Linked DNA regions of Lepisosteus oculatus. The protein of the gene in region 2 interacts with the protein of the main gene of each other region in a pairwise test. Links are inferred from orthologs where the notes say so. Each region holds a gene or a part of one and is shown on either strand. Other genes may lie near its edges.

The links.
Region 1: the proteins of nucleoprotein TPR (region 2) and nup153 interact in a two-hybrid assay, tested with the Homo sapiens proteins (3 studies listed by BioGRID, with this or other methods). The link is inferred for Lepisosteus oculatus from reciprocal best matches to the Homo sapiens genes TPR and NUP153.

What each region holds. Positions count from the first base shown.
Region 1 is NC_090705.1:16,832,898-16,842,942, forward strand, and holds the start of nup153 (nuclear pore complex protein Nup153), read right to left. Parts: upstream 4,132-10,045; 5' UTR 4,071-4,131; coding exon 3,993-4,070; intron 1-3,992. Other genes in the region: kinesin-like protein KIF13A, read right to left, coding at 8,671-8,888, 9,740-10,045. UniProt on the Homo sapiens protein: Component of the nuclear pore complex (NPC), a complex required for the trafficking across the nuclear envelope. Functions as a scaffolding element in the nuclear phase of the NPC essential for normal nucleocytoplasmic transport of proteins and mRNAs.
Region 2 is NC_090704.1:8,457,620-8,467,203, reverse strand, and holds the start of nucleoprotein TPR, read right to left. Parts: upstream 4,205-9,584; 5' UTR 4,138-4,204; coding exon 3,987-4,137; intron 3,198-3,986; coding exon 3,093-3,197; intron 2,761-3,092; coding exon 2,687-2,760; intron 2,529-2,686; coding exon 2,432-2,528; intron 1,987-2,431; coding exon 1,883-1,986; intron 1,636-1,882; coding exon 1,471-1,635; intron 979-1,470; coding exon 886-978; intron 803-885; coding exon 722-802; intron 179-721; coding exon 91-178; intron 1-90. Other genes in the region: odr4 (protein odr-4 homolog), read left to right, coding at 5,427-5,525, 5,776-5,910, 6,257-6,352, 7,081-7,187, 7,611-7,647, 8,068-8,208, 9,129-9,224.

The DNA.
Region 1 (10,045 bases), on a different chromosome or scaffold from region 2:
TGCCTTAGCTATGTCTTAATGGCAGCTGTACTAAAATGTATGTTTTCATGAGCCTGTAAAGGCTTTCACTAAAGCAACTGCATGACCTTAGTTTTAAAAAATTTCATTGAAGAAACTGTTCCAACCCAGTAAATTCAAGCACGTTGGGGCACAAGAGGGCACTGTCAAAACGCCAAGGGTTCAGCTAGAAAAGAGTCTGAACAAACTTCCAAACAAACATGCAGTTAGGAATCTGGGTCAGCTGTGCGTTTCAGACCTGAGTCTGCCTGCTCTCAGGACCTAGGGGAAAGACAATGCATCACACCCACAATCTCAGAGAGGTTTTTAAATCCCCTCAATTAAAATAACCACTAATTTGAACCAAAAATTCACCCCACAAACTGAACAGGAATGAAAGCTTCTACAGCATATTCCCAAATCCCAACCGTACTAGCTGAAATCAGCTCAGTAACCCTTTCGGCCGATAAAATAGCAGTACACCACAACAAAGGGACACTTTGAAAATGATAGCTTCCTTCAACGAAAAAGTTTATATACGCTCCATGTTATGAATGGAAATAATAACCAGAAAAAATAAGAACTAGGGTTTTGTCCAAAATGTGCATTGGCAGCCCTTCCATAATGCTGCCAAATTAACTCTTGTGAATTTAACTCAAGACAAATGTTTGGGAGGTAATGCCAGAGAATGAAAAAAGCTTATAATCATGTTGGCATCTCAATAAAGAGACTCTGAGCTATTTTACAATTTCTAAAAAGGCAACAACACTTAAAAGACATGTTTTTAAAAGAAAACTTTGGATTTGATCAATAACCGACACTGGTAAACAATGAATTATTGTTCTTCAGCTGTAAATCTTTTATTTATACTTCATTAAGAAATACATAATCAAAACTAGTTTTACCTTAATTTTTGGTTCACAACTGAATGATAGAAAAAAAAATGTTTCGTTTGGGTACCATGAATAATGACGCTCATTTAAAAAAAAATATCCCTCCTTCATGATAACAGAACTGTACTAATGCCAGACAGCGTGACAACTTGACCTGTAAGAAAGTACATTCCTGACTCAGCTGGTTCTGAGCTATGTATTAAGTGCAAGTGCAATGAGTAGATTATTAAAACTGTGTGGCCCTGATGCAGATATCTTAATGAATGCAAGCACAAAAGCTGTCAGATGATGCAGATGCTGATATGAACCTCTGGAAAGCTCATTACATACTCAAAACCTGGGTTGAGACAAAAAGTTGGAATAAAACAACCTGTACGTGTACCTTACACTTACACTAAAAAATGAATCCTGACATATCCACACTCTTATCACAACTTTAACCTTAACTATCACCAATTCTTTGACGATAACCCTATACCACATTTCTAACCTGAAATTCAAGAGTACATATTGAGCTGTCCAAATTCGGTTACTCAGCCCTCTGCTTGATAAAAAAGAATAATTAGGAGTAAATGATAAGAGCCGATTTGGGATGCGTTTTCAAAGAGATGTTAATTTGGTGAAGGGGACAATTTATAACTTAAATTTACAAATAGCTGCCTGATATTTCAGTTGTCTGGCACCTTTAAAAAAATACAGAACTTCTAAGACAACACAACAGAGGAAAACAAAATTCAGATGCATATGGATTTGTTGCCCTCTTCAAAATGTTCTCTAGTTAAATGATCACATTTGGAGAATCTGTGCAGGAGTGTCTAGTTACTACAGAACTCATAGCAACACAGAGTATTCGGACTGCATTGCACAGGGACACCTCACTTCCCAGCCTTTCTGGCAGGTTCATCCTGATGTGACTATTAGTTTTCCTGAATGATGGGTATGTGGCATTTAAGCCATGTATAAATGATGGGAGTCCCAAAAAACTATGCAACCCGATTCAAAGCTTCCATTGCAGATGGAAGGGGCGATGCAGATGCAGATACAGATACAGATGCAAAATGCAGGGGCGGAGCGGTGGCTCTGTGGCTAAGGATCTGCGCCTGTGACTGGAAGGTTGCCGGTTCAAATCCCCGCGGCCGGCAGAGGAATGGGCCCCTACTTCGTTGGGCCCCTGAGCAAGGCCCTTAACCCCTAACTGCTCCAGGGGCGCCGTACAATGGCAGCTTCTCTCCCTGTCTGTGTTTCCATGGAGAAAAGCCGGGGTATGCGAAAAGGCGAATTCCTAATGCAATAAATTGTATAGGGCTAATAAAGAAACATTAAAAACACTAAAAAAAGATGTACTGCCTCATAGGCTGGCCACACCAGTTTAAATTAGAACGTGCCCTCTGTGTGGTATATGTCTTCTCCCTGATTCTATACGAGTCTTCTCCATGTGCTCCAGTTTCCTCGAAGACACGCTGGTCAGGATAACTGACTCTCTCATTGTCCCTATGTCCGTCTTTCCTGCAACATACCATCCAGAGCGAGTCTCACCTTGTGACCCTCGCTAGGAACAAACAGCTTTCTGATACTAGATGAACTGATAGTTCAGTTTTCTTTCACTACACATTTTCCTTCCCCGTATTTTGGACAACTTTCGGCACAGTGAAAGCGCTTCGAAAGACCAGGACAGACAAGAAGAAAAAATATCCTGCAACTTAAGGCGCATTTAAAAAAAAAATTAAACCTCATTCCTAAGACAGAAGCATTCAGGAGATGAACTGGCATATTATGTAACAGGCCCAGTCTTGCATAATTTAACTTTTCATGAACTTGGCCTATTTAAACCAATTTTTGTACCTGCATCATGAGTGATGTTCTTAGATCTGTCATAATATGCCATCATGACAGATCTAAGATAAAAAAACAGCACAAAAAATCCCCAAACAGTAGCAAATCTGTTAACCAGCTGTATTTTTAAATGATTGGGTTAGCTACTACAGTTCTCCTTGGTGAAATCCTAAATTGCGTGATAAAGTTTGAAACAAAGGTTGCGAGTTAACAGCAAGATGCTTCAGTGTGACTAAAAACTCACAGCTCAAGCCTGTGGAATGACTTCATCTAATACAAACCTACACTCGGGTTCTTCTTGACAGAATCCACATGTCCAGAATTTGGAGTGATTTAAATGGAATTGAAAAAAGTTAAATATAACAACATTGTTATACTCGAATGGTTTTAAAAGGTGGGGGGGGCGTTCTTTTTCAAGCTTTTTGGGTGCCCGGACATGATATTTAAAGAGAGACGAAACTTAGAATAAAATACAGCACCCCACGAATAAACCACTTTTAATTGGGTTGGTTAGCGCATACTCCTCAATAACGGAGATTACACTTTAAACCTCACATTGGGAAGTGCAAAGGTTTAGGAATACAATATACTTATCCCGCTGGCGTTCGAACATCGAATGCCGCAAAATTTCGGCGATCTGCCCGCTTACGACGTGATCGCAATCACTGCACTGCGAGATCCGGAGCCACATGCTCGGAGCACAGGAGCGCACCGATCACCCTGACTCGCCGTCTAAAAGGACGGAACTCGGCGGTCTCAAGGATTAATTCCGCGAAGCGAAATTATCGGGGCTTTCCCCTGTTTCCACCTGGCGAGTGTGTGCACGCCACTCCGGCAAGAGTTACAGTCTTAAAGCAACATGCGGGGCCTGGACTCGCTCCAGGGTGGACGCACGTTACATTTTTAGCGCCCGAAAAAAAAAGTAAATAAACAAAAAAAAATCAGCGAAGAGAATACCAGTAAAATCGCAAAATGATGCAAAGTTTAAGTACCGCTTAATGACAATCCGATAATGCACCCCGACTGCCTCTTCACGCCACCGCTACTCGCAGTGTGCTCCCGGGCTGCCTTATTTCCCCGACCTCCCCGATGTGTTCAGCCTGCCTGCGCGCCCAGTAGGCCGCAGACACCAGGTACCAGAGAGCGCAGGCCTCCGAGGATGGGGCAGACCAGGCCGCAAGACGCCGTTACAAACACACAACACCTGACTACCACCAGCGAGCAAGACACCGCCGTTTTCTTTTAGCCACAAAGCAGAGTTCAATTTACCTGTTTGCCTTTGGCGTAAGGTTTCGAAGCGATGTGGTACCTCCTAGTTCTGATTTTCCCTCCTCCTGCAGCCGCCATGGTTTACTCACAACAGCTCACCGCTCGGTATCGGATACTCTTCTCCCGTCAGCCTCCGAGAAGCCTGGCCCGCCGCTATACCGACATGCATCGCGGGCGAGGCGTATGCCAAGGGTTTGTGGGACCTGAAGTTCTGTTTTCTGGTACGCCTCGTGGAAGAGTTAACTTAATTTTTTTTAAATAAAAAAGCTGAATGCGTCGGATAAAATCATACATTCGTCAAGATGTATTTTTTATTAATCACATTTAACTTACGTACACACGGAATATTACCATTTATAGACACGTCTTTGAAACGTACAAAAAGGAATTTGGGTACACCGACCTGTTCAGATCTTTCTATCTTGACGACGTTTGAGCACATAGGTTTTACTGCTAGAATTTTACGAGTGACACAATTTGTTACCTGTACTTTAAATTGAGTTGATTGAGTGAAGGTTTTTGCTATTCTGAGAACCTCAATTCAATTCCCATGTTCCAGGCTAGAAACACTAATTTTGTCAGTGCTCACCTCTAAATGATTTTTTTAGCATGCTGACAAAAGGTTTAAACTATTCCATGTAAAAGCAATCTAATTTATAACTTAAACGTTACTTACACTTGATTTAACCTTTGCAATCTCAATGCTATGCCCAAGCATTCTTTTGTCCTTTTTTTATTACTTCCTCATACTATGTAGTTGATGACGGTGAGAATTCAGTGTACTTTGCCTGAATAAAGAATAAAATCTCCGGAGGAATTGTGACATCACCCAAGCACAGTCAACACACCAGAGGTAAAAAATCAGCATATATTTTATTTTAACTCCCCTGGGGAGCTGGAGTACAACTTGTACTCTCTGACTCTGTAAATACAGTACAAGAACCCTGAATAGCTCCTGAATGCCTTCCATGCAGGTGCTGGCCATTCTCAGATACCTTCCAAGCTGGCCTTGCCTGCAAGTTGCTCTTAAACCAGGCAAGAAAGCAACCCAGTTGCAGTCTCCCACATCTACTCTTGCCCCCTAAACTGGGGCAGGTAAACTCCACTGGGTGTGTGATAGCCAGAAATATGGCAACTGAAATTACCGCTTTGAATTACTGTGAAGGGCATTCGTCTTGATTTTCAAATGTGATAGTGTAGGACGCTTTCCGCAAGAAATGCAGTGGATGGAATTGCAGGACAGGCACAATGCCCTCTGGGTGATCTGGAGTGGATATGAATTTACTGGCAATACAGTGTCTTCTGGTCCATCACAAAGTGTCTAGCACGGATTGTGAAGAGATCTGTGGATTAGAGTGATCTTTCCCGAACAAAGTTTCCTTCCATTTACACTGGCCAACCATTTCAGGGAACATACCAGTACAGTCAGGATTGAGGTCCTTCCCAGTCCTGTAATATATACACACACTATTGTGTCTGCCACAGTCATGGCCACAAAGACCTCTGTTTCTGTCCTTTGGCAGGAATTTAAAAGCCCCAATGCCAGAAAAACATCAAGTGAAATTTAATATAATTTTGTGCAGAAGAGTCCACATAGGAAGATGGCACAAATACATATGAGGCAGTAATAGTGAGATCTAGGAAGTTACAGTCTGCATGAAAGGATCTATGTTTTTATACAGTATGTAAATATCCTTTTTAATGTCCTTGTAGTACTTTAGAGCGATTTTACATTCAAAGGTAATGAAGTCATCCTCTGGAACAGCCTCTATGCCAGTGAGCCTTGTTACTTGAACCGAGTGAGAAAACAGTCCTAAAAACCTTTGGTTTCAGCTAGAGTTACAGATCACGGATCTGAATCCGTGATGTAAAGAGTTCAGGGTTATATTGGCAAGACTGCAGACTGGTGTTGTACACAGAGCTTCAGAGAAAGCACACACAATTATACAGTAAATGACATATCTGTCAGTGAAGATATTCAGCCTTTAGGAAGTGGCCATAAGCCATTTAAGCATACTGTATGTTTTCTTACAAACCTTTTCATGAACTGCCTTTTTGGGAGATGCTCTTCAGACGGCCTTTAACGGAAGAGCTAAGTAATAAGTAATAAAAACCTATAGACATCCAGAATAATCTGAAAAGCCGATTCACACAGCCATTACTGAACTGTCACTCTGATTCACAAGAAGAAGTACACTAAGAAAGACACTACTGATCGATGTGTTTGAGGAGTTTGGTAATGACTGATTTTTTCTTTCAAATATTTCTTACAGTATAACAATATAATATGTGTCAGACTGCAGGATTCTCAATACAATTGTCCAGACAGAAGGGGGGTAATTGTATTTTATGCATGAGCCTTTAGTGGGTGAAACTTAAAAAAAATGTTTTGCTTTCTACTGTACATAAGAAAGGTTACAAAAGAGAGGAAGCCATCTGACCCATCTGATCCATTTGGTAGTTTGTAGTTAATTGATCCAGGGATCTCATACAGCTGTTTCTTAAAAGGAACCAGGGTACCAGCTTCTACAATATGGCTAGTTGGCTTGCTCCGGAATACAACAATTGTAACAGCAGTATTAAGAATATAAGGATGAAGCTTTGTCATACAACCAGAGTTTTAAGTTAAGAATTTTTACAATGCAACTAAATCACCTAAGGCTTTATTCAGAACCCTCCTGGAAATCAACATAGGACTCCAGGTGCAGTCCAACTTGAGAATTGTGCAGTTTCTTGGCTAACTTTCTGGACTTTCATTTAATCCTGAATGGGCAAATTAAAAGTACAGGTTTAGATACTCTGTGGTTCAACACAGTGATGTATCTTCTTTATTCTCAAAAGCACTAAAAGCACTGTGACAGCACTAAATGACTTTACTTGGTAATTAAAAGCATGGTAATTAAAAGCATGGTTTTGAGTCCTAAGATATTGCTTTATATGGTGATACTCTCATAAAGAACCAGTATTATTTTTCACAAAAAATCCCTTTTATCTTATTTTGTGAGGAAGTTGGTGTTGAACAGATAAGCTATTTGTTACATAGCGGTGGCAGGCGATAGATTGAAATATCACAGTTCTTCTGAAAGAAGTCAGCAGCTAGCAGGGAGAGCCCAGTGTTTAACAGGCATTGCTCAAGCCATAGTGCCGATTCTTAGTCATTTTAACAGCTCTTTTTTGCTGTGCTGTAAATTGTACTTCAGTGCATATATTTAAAACAAATGAAAATGTCTCAGGAATAGGTAAACGTTTATTCCACGCTGAAAGGAAAAGAGACAACGTTTCAGATGTGGTCAAAATCCTGAAGAAGGCAACATAGCTGAAACATTGCATCTCTTTTCTTTTCCTTTAAGCATGGAATAAACCTTTACCTGCTCCTTTGCAGTTGACACATCTACCTTTCAGAAATATCTTATGAATGCCAAGATGAACTGGCTTCTGACATAATGACTGCTTAAAATAAGTGATGACCCTTGAGTAATGTACCAGATAGAGAACTTGACAATGCTCATGACTATCTTGGAATGAAGAAAAAAAGACAAGAAAAGTATTTACATTGTAAACATTCTGTATTCTAAAACACTTCTGTACCAATTAAATAGAGTTGGTGAAATACAATATAAATTACAATTCTGTACAGTACAGTGTAGTAAACACTATGTCCAAACAGGGGGCTATTTACACCATCGATTCGGGGAGAGCAGCTTTTTTAAAATAAGGTCCTGGGTTTTTACTTGAAATTACAGTAGACCGTTTGTTTTTGCAGCTCCTCGTGATGAAATCTGTTTAAAAATACTTTTAGCAATACTTTTCAAGCAGAGCACACAAGACCCACTATCATCCAAGTATATAAAACTATGATACATACATTTTTTTTGTTTCCCCATCATTGTCCAACCCTACCATTCCACATAAAAGTTTAAATTAGGAGAGTCTAAGTACCATTACATAATGGAAATTGTACTTGTTCCAAAACACAACAAAACTGAAGCTCTCTTTGTAGCAGTAACACTTTTCTCAGTCCTGTATCTACCTGGCAGACAGACTTGAATGTTAGTGTTTTAAATGCCTTGAGGCACTGGATGATGCATGGTGATTGAGTTTGTACGGATTCCAGTAAAAGCCTAGTCAACACAGTAGCGGCCTTTTGGAAGACAGACGTCATGGAAGAGTGTTTTGTGAAACACAGAGAAGCAAAAGGCATTACAATACCTAGCCATCAAGGGAAATATGGCACAGAGCTTTCCCTTTAAAAAAACAAACAAACTAGGGTATGGACAGCAGATATAATGGGTTCTTTGGCAATTCACAACATTTAAAATCATACAGACAAGGAGTTAGGAAAACAGACAATTTTAACAGTGGTCTAGTTTCTAACAGAAAACCCACATTCTCTCAGGAGGTAAGCTTGTCTGAGTGAATAGGCGTCTCCAATGAAGTAATTCAGAATTAATACAGCATGTCAAAGTTATAAAATGTGGGCTTTAAACTAAGTACATGTGTATCTGTATAATGTGCACCAACTACTAGCTGTTAGCTGGTGTCTAATAAAAGGACAAAGTCACGACCCAGCAGAAACCATTCAGTCACCTTTCCGAATATACACATCAGGTTCCAATATACACAACCAAACACTGTTTCTCTACGCAGCAGGTCGCGTAGCAAGAGCAAAAGCCGAGGATCAGCTGACCCACGAGCGGCGGTGTTCTTGCGTCTTCGGGGGGGTGGCGACGCCTCTCCGTTTCCTGCTGGTGCTGGCGGCCGACTGGGACCTGGGTACGCTGTCCTGCGCTTTGACCTTGTGGGGGGCTGGAGAGAGGCGGGTGGGCTTCACAAACACGCCGTGTCCCGGGAGGCAGCGGAAATACTCCCGCCCATGGACAGTGCCGTCGTGTTTGCCTGTAAACACAACAAATAAAAACATTTACATCCACAGGATAGATATTTCACAACGCAAACTTTCTTTCTCCGCCTCAGTGGCGATGGCTCGTCTCAGAGTAAGAAGAACTTCCTTTTTAATTTAAGAACTTCAGTCCCTCTCTGTCCACAAATATTTAGACCACTTTTAAACATAAGTGATAGTTTTACAACACGTGGTGTGCCAAACAAGACTTTGAAATAAGCATGCAGCTCAAGAGCTACATCAACATAAGAGCTAACATTTTTCTCTACCAGTGAAAACAAGTTATACAAATGACAATTTACGGTCTCCTGCTCATTTACAATAATAAACGTTATAAGCTGATGGGAAGAAGGAACTGTGTCAGCATCGACACCTTAGCATAATACAGCAGATACAAGATCCTTCTGTATCTCAGAATAAATGACCACTGTATACGTTGTAGTACGTCTATGACTGTATGTAAAGTGATGTAAAAAAGAAAGAACACCCCCTTGCGATTCTATGGTTTTATATATTAAGACATATATGCATCTAGTTCTCAACAACTCCTAGCAGTAGATAAATCTCAAATCATGTGAGGGATAACGCACAAAGTTTACTTTGTTGTTTTTTATCAAGCAAATAATCAGTCAATATTCAGAAGCCTTGTGTGAAAACGTAAGTGCACCCTTACTGCTTCCATATGAGTTAAAAAGGCAATTAGAATCAGGTGCTGCAAAATAATCCTTAGAGTGTGTATTTTCTTTTTCATATTACTGTAAATATGAGCACTTCTGTCCTGGTGATACTAATCAACAAGTATGTGTTTAACTGTCCTTAATTGTTCCTCAGCATCAAAACCACTTACCAGCTGGAAGGTCAAGCTCCACTCCAACCCAGACTCCCTCTGCAAAATCCACAGCACCAACATAGTGAATAGTCCCAGTTTTATTTCCAATACACACATGTTCGCCTGGTGCCATCCACTCAGGAGAGTGTCTTAAAGGAGGACCCTCATCACTGCTTGAGGAGTCCATATGATTCTTGTTCATGGATGTGTCTGTAGCTGGAGGGGTAGAGTCTCCACCCGATTCCACAGACACCCCAGCAGTCAGTTCTTCACTCGAGTTTGTCAGGCACATGTAATCGGTCATCCTTTGTGTGCTCTGCAAGG
Region 2 (9,584 bases):
GTGTGACAGCAGGATGCCCCCAGAAAACGTCTTCGGTTTCATTTAACGTTACAAATAAGGCAAAGACTCCCGTAAAGAGCAATTACTCACCTTCTCCCACTTCCTTCAGTAACTTGTGAAGTTCCTCCACAGCCTTGTTGAGCTCCTCACTTTTAGAGTCTGAATCTGCTGCTGCACTCTACACACAAAGCAATAAAACTGAAACAACTTCTCAAAACATCCATTTTTTAATGACTTAAGACCGTTTTACACTTACACTCTACTAGAATCATGTTAAGCTTTGTAAGCTTGAGAAAAAAAAAGTACATAAATAGGTTAAGGGCCTGAATCAATTCAGCCAATTAACATGACAAAATCTAAACAATTTTCAGCATTTTTCCTGTCATATGTATACAGTTCATCTAAAATGAAATTCCACATTGATCATTAAACAAAGTTGAGCTATGATCAGTTAATGCCCCACAAACGTTTTTTTTATTTTCCAAAGCAGGAGGGTACAGTCCATAGTTAATGCAACATTCACTTTTGGACAAGATTCACTTTTTTATTAATCTCCCCCCACTCCTTTCATTAACTTTGGAGTTTTTCTGAGCATACTGTGCTTTATGGCAACACATCCCAGGACCAGCTTCAGCTGGGGAGACTGGAGACCAAGCGTTTGAACAATTTCATTTTAATAGATCCTGTTAAGAAATGTAAAAACTTAAATAAGTGGACCTGCCTTGTACAAATTGGACAGCTTTATGTGCGCATTCAGTTCATGGCCAAACTTCTCCTCCATGCTGGCCTGCTGCTCCTTTGCCTATAGAAGAAGACAGTGTTACACTGGTCGGTGTTAGGTCTCCAGCTCAAATAGTGAAATTCATACCACAAAGAAAAAATGACCTCTTTCAATTTCATCATCAAGTCCTCTGCTTGCTTTTGAAAGTTTTCATTTGACGATTTCAGACTGTTCACTTGTTCTTGAAGTCTTGTAACCTGAAAAGCAATAAAGTAATTAAGAGACCAGCAGCCTGCATCTCGGTTTTAGGACACGCAGGGCAACATCAGTATTAACTTAAAACCAGATTAATAACAACTGACATGCTTAACTAAAATTACTCCTAGGCTGAGGAATAACAGAACCAAGCCAAATGGGTGAGTTGTACTTATATCGCTCTAAGCAAAGGCATTACTTTGTAGAAGGCCAAACTGCACTTTAGTATAGTATTAACACAATTTTGGGATGCATAACTATAAACCTTCTCAATGAATGAAGAATGCACTTGAGAAGTAGCTGCACCTAATCAAAAGAGTGGATTTTTCACACCAGCCAAAGCTGGACCAAATCAAGTATTATTTTTGTTTAAATATGTGTTTACAGTTTCAGGTGTTTATAACAGAAACCTGAAGTGCAAGAGTATTGTTTCTTAACCCTTGCAGGACCAGACCACAACATATAATCTGCCTAATAAAGCATATAAAACAAACCTCCTCCTTTTTATTCTCCAGGTTGCATTTGAGCTCCAGAACTTCATTGCCTTTCTCTCGGGAGACAGAGAGCAGCTCGTCAGTCTTGGCCTTCAGCTCTGTGTTCAGCCAAGAGTTCTGACTCTGTAGGAGCTCTTTCTCCTGCTCCATCCTCTTTTCCCGGTACTAAAACAAAAACAGAAAACAACTTTGTGTTGTTGTCCTACTTAGATTCTATTTAGAACATGACCAACCTGTAATATTCCAAAGATGCAGTTTTCTTAGTGGTTGTGACTCCACAGATTCACAACAGCCTCTGGCAGATAAATACAGTTTTCCAAATTTACAGTTTCCAGGCAACCACTTCAACTTTTGGTTTAATCTCAATGTTACAAGTTTCACTGACAGACTCCTAAAGCTGTATTAACCTCACCTTGATTGAAACCTCCGAAGACTGAAGCTCATCAAGCTTTAACTGGAACTCCATCTTTGCAGTATTCGTCTCCACAAGCTTGTCATTGAGACGTTTAAGGTCCTCTGTTAAAGAAAGATGACATTTTTAAGTATCTGTTGCATAAAAAGAAAAACGACGGTAGATCTGAACTTAACACCGAAGGACTCCAATTTGTAGAATATGTTGCACTGCCCTTTTTTTGAGAGCTTTGCTGAGGAGCACAAATATTTAAAATTTCACAACGTGAAAAGACTCCAGTACATCTCACTCAGCCCCTCTTGTGGCCTTTTACTCTCAAAACAACTCACCTTTATTCTGAAACTCCAAGACAACCAGATTCCCTTAATACAAGTTGCCAAACAAAAACTAGACTTCTGAGTCTTAAGATTTCAAGCAACAGTGTCAAGAAAAACCCCATCTAAACTGTATAACACAATTCATCATAACGACAGCAGCTATGCAAATTAGGCTGTCTTAAAAGATTCCTTCAAGGTCAGAGGCTTTGTGGCACAACCCAGATTTTCATACCACTTAGATGCTCCACTTCCTGGGACCTTTTCTCCAGTGTTCGGACCAACTCTCGTTTTTCAGCCTCCAGTTCATCTTTGACTTTGGTGAGGTGAGCCTGAAATTAAACAGAAGACGGTGGTTCTGTGATGCCTGCTCACAAGCAAAATGTGCCCCTTTTAAGTTTCAGATGAAATGACATACAAAATCCAAAGAAAAGGCATTTCAGAACAAGTAACTAAAATGTCTGTATCCAAAATGTATTTTGATGTTCACCTGCTGTGCAGAAAATCTCTCTTCTGAGGACTCATATTCTCTCTTTTGCTCTTGCAGGGTCTTCAGCTCTGCACCTAGAAATTGAACGCAGAAAAATTAGTTTAGAGCCCTACTTGTAATGTGAATGAGTCTTTACATGGCAAGCTTCGAGCAGTAGCCAAAGATTCATCCAAAAAAAAAGAGGATTCTTCAAAAAGATAATTTACCACATGGCCTGAATCACAAACTATACACCCTGTGCAGGAACAAGCATGAACAAAGATCCTTAGAGTTAGCTTCCAAACATTTTTGACAGTAGCCTACCATTTACAACAGCATGCTCAAAGGCATGGACTACATTCGTATCTGGGTGAAAACTATAGTACTGTCACATTTACTATAAAGTGATTGCAATCCGTGTACTTACTGAGCTTGGTGAACTCCTCCTGGAGATTTTGGCGTTCCTGAGTCTCTGATACGAGTTTCTCCTGGCTCTGAGCCAGTCGCTTCTCCACTTCAAAGTACTGCTGCTCTGTAAAGATTAGAGAATAGCCTGCATCAATCTTGGTTGCACTGCTGTAAGAAAAGCTTTTAATATTAATGAATGATTAAGCACTGTTTAACTCCTAAATCTGTGCAAAATCATTCAATAACTGCTTATATTACAAGACAATCCTGTAACTTAACCTGACAAACAGTTTTGCAAAAGTTTAGGGTACAGGTATGTCGTTAAACATAGGTTATTTATATTTGCATAAAAAGTCTGACAAATCAATGATTTATACCAGGTAGATAATCGTCCCCATTCTTTAAATTACAAATTAACCACTACAGCCTGAAACGGGACAAATTCACGTTCAAGATCAGTTGCTCAGATGGGGTTAACATTGCAGTTTACAGACGTAACAAACTCGTAATTCAATATTCAAAGTATGAAGATCAAATACTACAGATGGGGGATTTCCTCCAAATTCACAGTTTGTAAATCAACAAAAAAAAGACAGAAATGGAAAACTCAACCTTCCAAAAGGAATCAGACAACATCCTTTTTTGAGGTCTGAAAAGCCAGGTGCCAAAGGCCTGTTGTTTGCCTCCTCTCGGCAGCCATATTAAAATATATGAATAAACACGCAGCTGGAGAAATGGGCCCTATACCAAAGTCAGTTCAAACATTAAGGAAAGCGATGTTCACAACTGCGCACTTATAATCATATGCTCTCAAAATCCAAAGTCTGCGATCGGAATGAAACGCGAGATCTCCCTGCGTCTCCAGAGCAGGCATGACGAAAGATTAAACATGAACGTTTCCCAAACATCTTACCACTGTCTACTTTAAATCGCTCGTGGTGGGATTTGAGGGCATCTATTTCAGATTGCTGGTCTGACAAGAACTTCTCGAGCTTGTTTTGGACGGCTTTGGAGAGCTTGGCCAGCTCAGGCCGTTCCAGCATCTGCTGCAGAATCGCCGCCATCTTTAACCCCCTCAAGTCTCAATTCGGGCGAAAGCTCTTGGAAAATACCGCCTATCTCCCCACTCTCTCACATAGATATATATAAAAAGTCCTAGGTAGGCCGGGGCTTGTCGTCATTTCCGTAAGTAAATTGCATCGCCACCTAGGTAAAGAAAAGTGTAGTTGCAATTATTCTTCTCCTTGTAATGTCTGACAGAAGATACGTTTCTTTTTTCACGACATATTAAAGGTCATAAGTAGTTACAATTTAAAGAGAAAAATATATAAATGTGTTTTTTAGAGGAAGATGTGCATGCATAACGATGAACCTCCAGACGTCTTGGGCTTTTTACGTTTATCCACAGCATTTTCATTTAATTCATCTTAAATATTTATACTTTTTTTTCCTGTGCAGCTAGCGCATAGTTTAATAAGAGTGTAGCATTTTAGTTAAGTCCTCCGAAGAAGGACGTCATAATCAAGCAACGCAAAATGGCCAACCAGCGGTTGCTGGCTTTGTGACGTTCATTCCTAGGAAAAAAAAAAAGCTGTTTTGGGTGGTCTTACCAAGCAGAAGTGAAGCGTGCAGGTATGAGTTTCTGATGTTAACATATAGTTGAGACAGTCGTGGACAGGCAATTGAATGTTGGAAAGTTAGAAATTTATGTATGCATATTACATGGGCATGATTTGCAGTGCCTTCTATTTTTACTCTTTAGCTACAGAAGGAGTATAATGATCGCAGTACACGTTTCAAATTTAAAAGTAGCTAAATTTTAAGTTACGGGTTTTGAGAAAAGCAATATTCGGGCTGTTTATTTACACCCGTATGTTATGATTGGGTGTGTGCGTGTTGAAATTGGAGAATAAAGCGTGTGCCTTCTCACAAAATAAGATCTTTGTGTGTAGGATATTTGCGATCTGTTGTACAGAATTCCTTATAATATTTACATTTTGCATTAAACAATCCAGCTTAATTTGAAGGGAAATGTATAATACTACAAGGATTAAAGTCCCGGATTCTTTAAGAAGTACTTGACCAAAGAGATGACGTGTAACTCCTGCGCTGCTCTGAATCAGCTGCTGTAACCCGCACATGATCGATAAGTAAGGATTCAGCAGTCTGTTCGTAAATACACTGTGCTTCTTGGGATTCGCATAATACCCATCTGTTTCAGCTAGCGCTTTTGTCCAGAGCGACTTATAATAGTGTCACAGTTTGCTGAATCAATCTAAGTGAAGTACCATTTTACTGATATGTCATTTTTGCTTTTCCCCCTTAGAAGACAAGTAATGATAAATCTCTCAGGATGGGGAGAAGTTACTTTGTGGAGGACGTGGTAGAAAAGTACATTCTGAACCTTGTCACTGCAGAAAAAGCCTTCACAACCGGTCTCTTAATTGGGCAGGTGAGGTTCCTTCGTATGAGTGGGCTTTTTTAAGAAGCGAAGCATAAAACTAAAATAGTTTTACCATTAGACATCTCCAAAGTAAATCCAATAAATGTAGAGATTTTTGTGTAATGTAAACTTATCATCTTTAAAAGAGAACTAGATATGTTTAGTGTGACAGTGCACTCCATAAACAATAAGCTCAGTACATTCAAAATAAAACTATTAGTTGATGCTTTACTAATACTTTATTTTTCTTTGCGTTTAGTGTTCTCCACAGAGGGACTTTGTAGTGCTTGCAGTTCAAACGGCCCAGAGAGAAGAGCAATTTAACCAGCCCAAACAGAGTAAAGTATCACTAGTGGACATTGATGAAGACTGGGTCATTGGGCATGCTCGGCAGGTGTGTGATTTAATGACTTTGCCAAGAAAAATTCACATCATAATGAAAGCAGGTGGAACTGAAGTATATATCTGGTATTGCAACAAATAGACTTAAAGGCGTTAAAGGCGCAACGAATGATTGTAAGAAGCAATAGCATTTCTACTGCCTATATGACAACAGATGTCAAAGTCAATGTTAAAACGGGTCAACAGTGGAATAATAAATATACACAGATACGGAGCTTAATAAAATAGAATTGTTTCCTTTAGTCAACGTATACTGTTTATGAAAATCTTTTTAAGGAAATTTGAGAACTCCCCCCCCAGTTGATCTCTTTGTTTTAATGTCCCGTGGTGCTGAACAGGTTTCTCGAATGTTGCCTGGGGGGCTGGAGGTCCTTGGCGTGTTTCTGATCGCCTCGCCTGAACTGTCCAAGGAGTCGCAGAATACACTGCGGAGGGTGAGTGACTCAGCCCCTGAGTCAGGCCCATGACTGAAACACACATTGAGCGTTATGGCCCAGATCCATACTGTATGTAACCTTGACTAACTCCACTTCTCATACAACACATTTTGGAGAGAGAAAAACTATCGATTTTACATTTAGATTCATAATTGATTTATCTTAATTTCAGTTATTATTTTTCTGTTTCTGTTTCAGAATTCAGTGATACTCTGCTGTTGGGTCATTCGGTCTAAATGTATGACAGTAAAGTAATACGTTGTTCTCCAAGCCCAATACGCGATAGATGTATGTTCCAAGCAAGCGTTACTTCATTCGTTGAATTTAATAGTTCCAAGCCACAGTATGTAAAGTGGAAGAACAAATGTTGTTACATTGCAAATGGAATAGAAAACGTTGCAAGTGATTCTAAAAGTTTTGTGTTTCCCCAAGATTATCATGTTCAGTATTCCCGGTTGCTCAGACAATTCACTTTGCTCATTGTGTGCATAATTAGAGGGGAAACTGGCCAAGTCTAAAACAATGAGCTATTCTGTAAGTAAGAATTCCATTGTACCAGTACATATACCGGTTACATATGGCTAAAAAGTTCAAATTAATCCGAAGTGGCTCCAATAAAAAAAAAAGGTCATTCTGAATTGGACAGAAAGGAGAAAATCGTGTATTAACAATTGTACCTGTGAGAAAATCATTTAGGCATATGAGCTTTTTTTTTTCTTCCTTAGTTGGTATTTGGAGTGGAGAAGTCGGTAGTGAAGGGAAGGCTTTGGAAGCTATCAGAGGATGATGTCTCAGAAAGAGTGACTCTTCACATCTGCTCGAAGACGAGGAAGTATCCTTTAGAACAGTGTGTGAGGTTGACAATGCAGACATTCTCCTGTACATAGGAGCAGTATCATTAATCAAAAACCTTGATGTAGGAAGGTGAATCTGAATCCGACCTCACATTTTAGGCTAATTCTTAAATATTAATGCAATCATAAAAAATACAAAGCAGTGATTATGATGTAGTTTGCCATGTCAACTTATGTTACTTGTAACCATCTAACGTATTTGCACTTGTGTACTTGGAGGTGCGGGACTTCCTAATGTGTTTCTGTTGTAAGTTTCTGTCTGCAAAACCATGATGTAAGGTTAATGTATCTATTACAGATGTTTATATGAAGCAGACACATTATTTTCAGTAGCTCTGACATTTGTCCTGATATTAATGTCACCTAAAGCTTCATAATTTTCCTTGACTTGGTGAACCAAGAGTGACATGTCGGACTTTCGATGTGCAAGACCCCAAGGTGATATTAAAGAGAATTTAAATATTGCTTTGAGAAATGCAACCTTAACCATACCCTACATAAAACAAGTACTACCTAAAACATCTACTAGACCTAACCTAACCTTAGACCTCATGATGACCCTAAACCTAATCAGTTAATTGGAGTGTAAAATGTGTTCCTACCATAGTTCCAAACCTAATTTACCCTGTCACTAGACGTGATTTTAATGCTATCCTTAGCTCTTATCCTCAAATATGTTACCATGTTTAACCTTTTCCATTAACTCCTGGCTTAATTCTGCATCCTTTTATACAAAAGCAGTGAAGAAAACAGCTTTTACAACCTTCTGTGCAGTTATTCCATTGAAGAATGAATGCTTATTAAGAATCTTTGTCGTCGTTATATCTTTACTTGTCACTTCTTAATGATGCCCTGAAGAGCTCTGCTAAGCCAGCAGACTGGAAGTACCAGCCAGGACTCTCATCCTCATGGTCCGTCCTACAGTGCAGTGTTAAGATAGACCTACACATCCCAGTGCCAGAAGGGTCCTCTGTGAAAAATCTGGACAAATATGTGAAGGTAATATTTGTGTTATTTTATTTCCTCATATGTAAATCCAAAGGAATGCAGGTGTTGCAAGAATGGGGAGAACAGGCTTCTTGTTTATAGTTCTCTTTTGTATGTAGGATTACCAGAGCAAAATAAATAATTTGATCTATGTTTTTATTTTTTCTACTATTCGGAATGAAGCATCACAACTTATTTTTATCATCTTCAGAATCAATAAGGAACAGAACAAGAGGTAAACAATATAAGAAGATCATGAGAAAGGTTAAAAAAGAAAAGAGGCCATGTGGCAATTCAAGCCTATCCATTTGCAAGTAGTTAATTGCACAGAGGCTCAGCCATTTCTTGAAGAAAGCCTGAGTATCAGCTTCCACCACATACATAGCTGGGCAGCTTCTTCAATACTCCCTCAACCCTGTGGGTATAAAGGGATCTGTCACTAGCTTTAGTTGCACTCCCACACAGTTTCAACTTTTGTCACCTGGGTCTTGTTTCACTTCCTATTTTGTCAGAACATTTGACAATTTTAAATACTTAGATTACTTACAATTATAGTATTCTGTGTTCAGGACTTTATAGGTTTAGTAATTTTAGTTTAGGACATTCCTTTATTCTGAAAATTTGGTAAGAAAGTAGTCATTAACCTTGTCTACCATTTCAGTTTCTCCTGCAGACATTCAAGCTGGTTTTCCCAGTCTTTGTGAGGAAATTAGAGTCTCCCATGATAACGACCTCTTACTGTACACACATTTAATTTCATTACACAGTGTATTAATTCATATCTGGATTTGTTGGTGTGTAACACACTCCTTTTGCTATACATGATGTTGTGAGGTGAGCATACTCTTATCATTCTGATGTCTGAGCCAAATAGATTCTGGGACCCTTGGTTCCTCTAGTTCAAGTTCCAATACACGTTTTTATCTTTACAGAATAGGCTTCAGAAATGGGCTAATCTAGTAGAAGACAGTGTTATTCTAATCAATGGCCATGTCAGACCAAATGACAAAGAATTCACAGAGGGTCAGGTAAGTGATTGGATGTCTGCTTTGATGCATATAACCTTTGTTATTGCATGCCTTTTTAGTTTATTTTCAAAATGGCTTATGATGTTCTAGAGGTGCTGTCGTTAATTCTAATGATTTGTGTTTGATTTTATTATTGCTTTACACAAAGTCGACACAAAGTTGACTTTATTGCCAAACCAAGCCTTCAGGTTGTTACGAATTTTTTGTGTTGTGCTTGAAGTAACATACAAGATACAACTAAGGTACAAAAAAAAAGACAGATACAGAGAAGAGAAAAAATCATAAATAACATACACATATCATGTACAAAAAACAATACAATGCTACAGTAAAGATAGCATACAGAAATGTACGAATAAA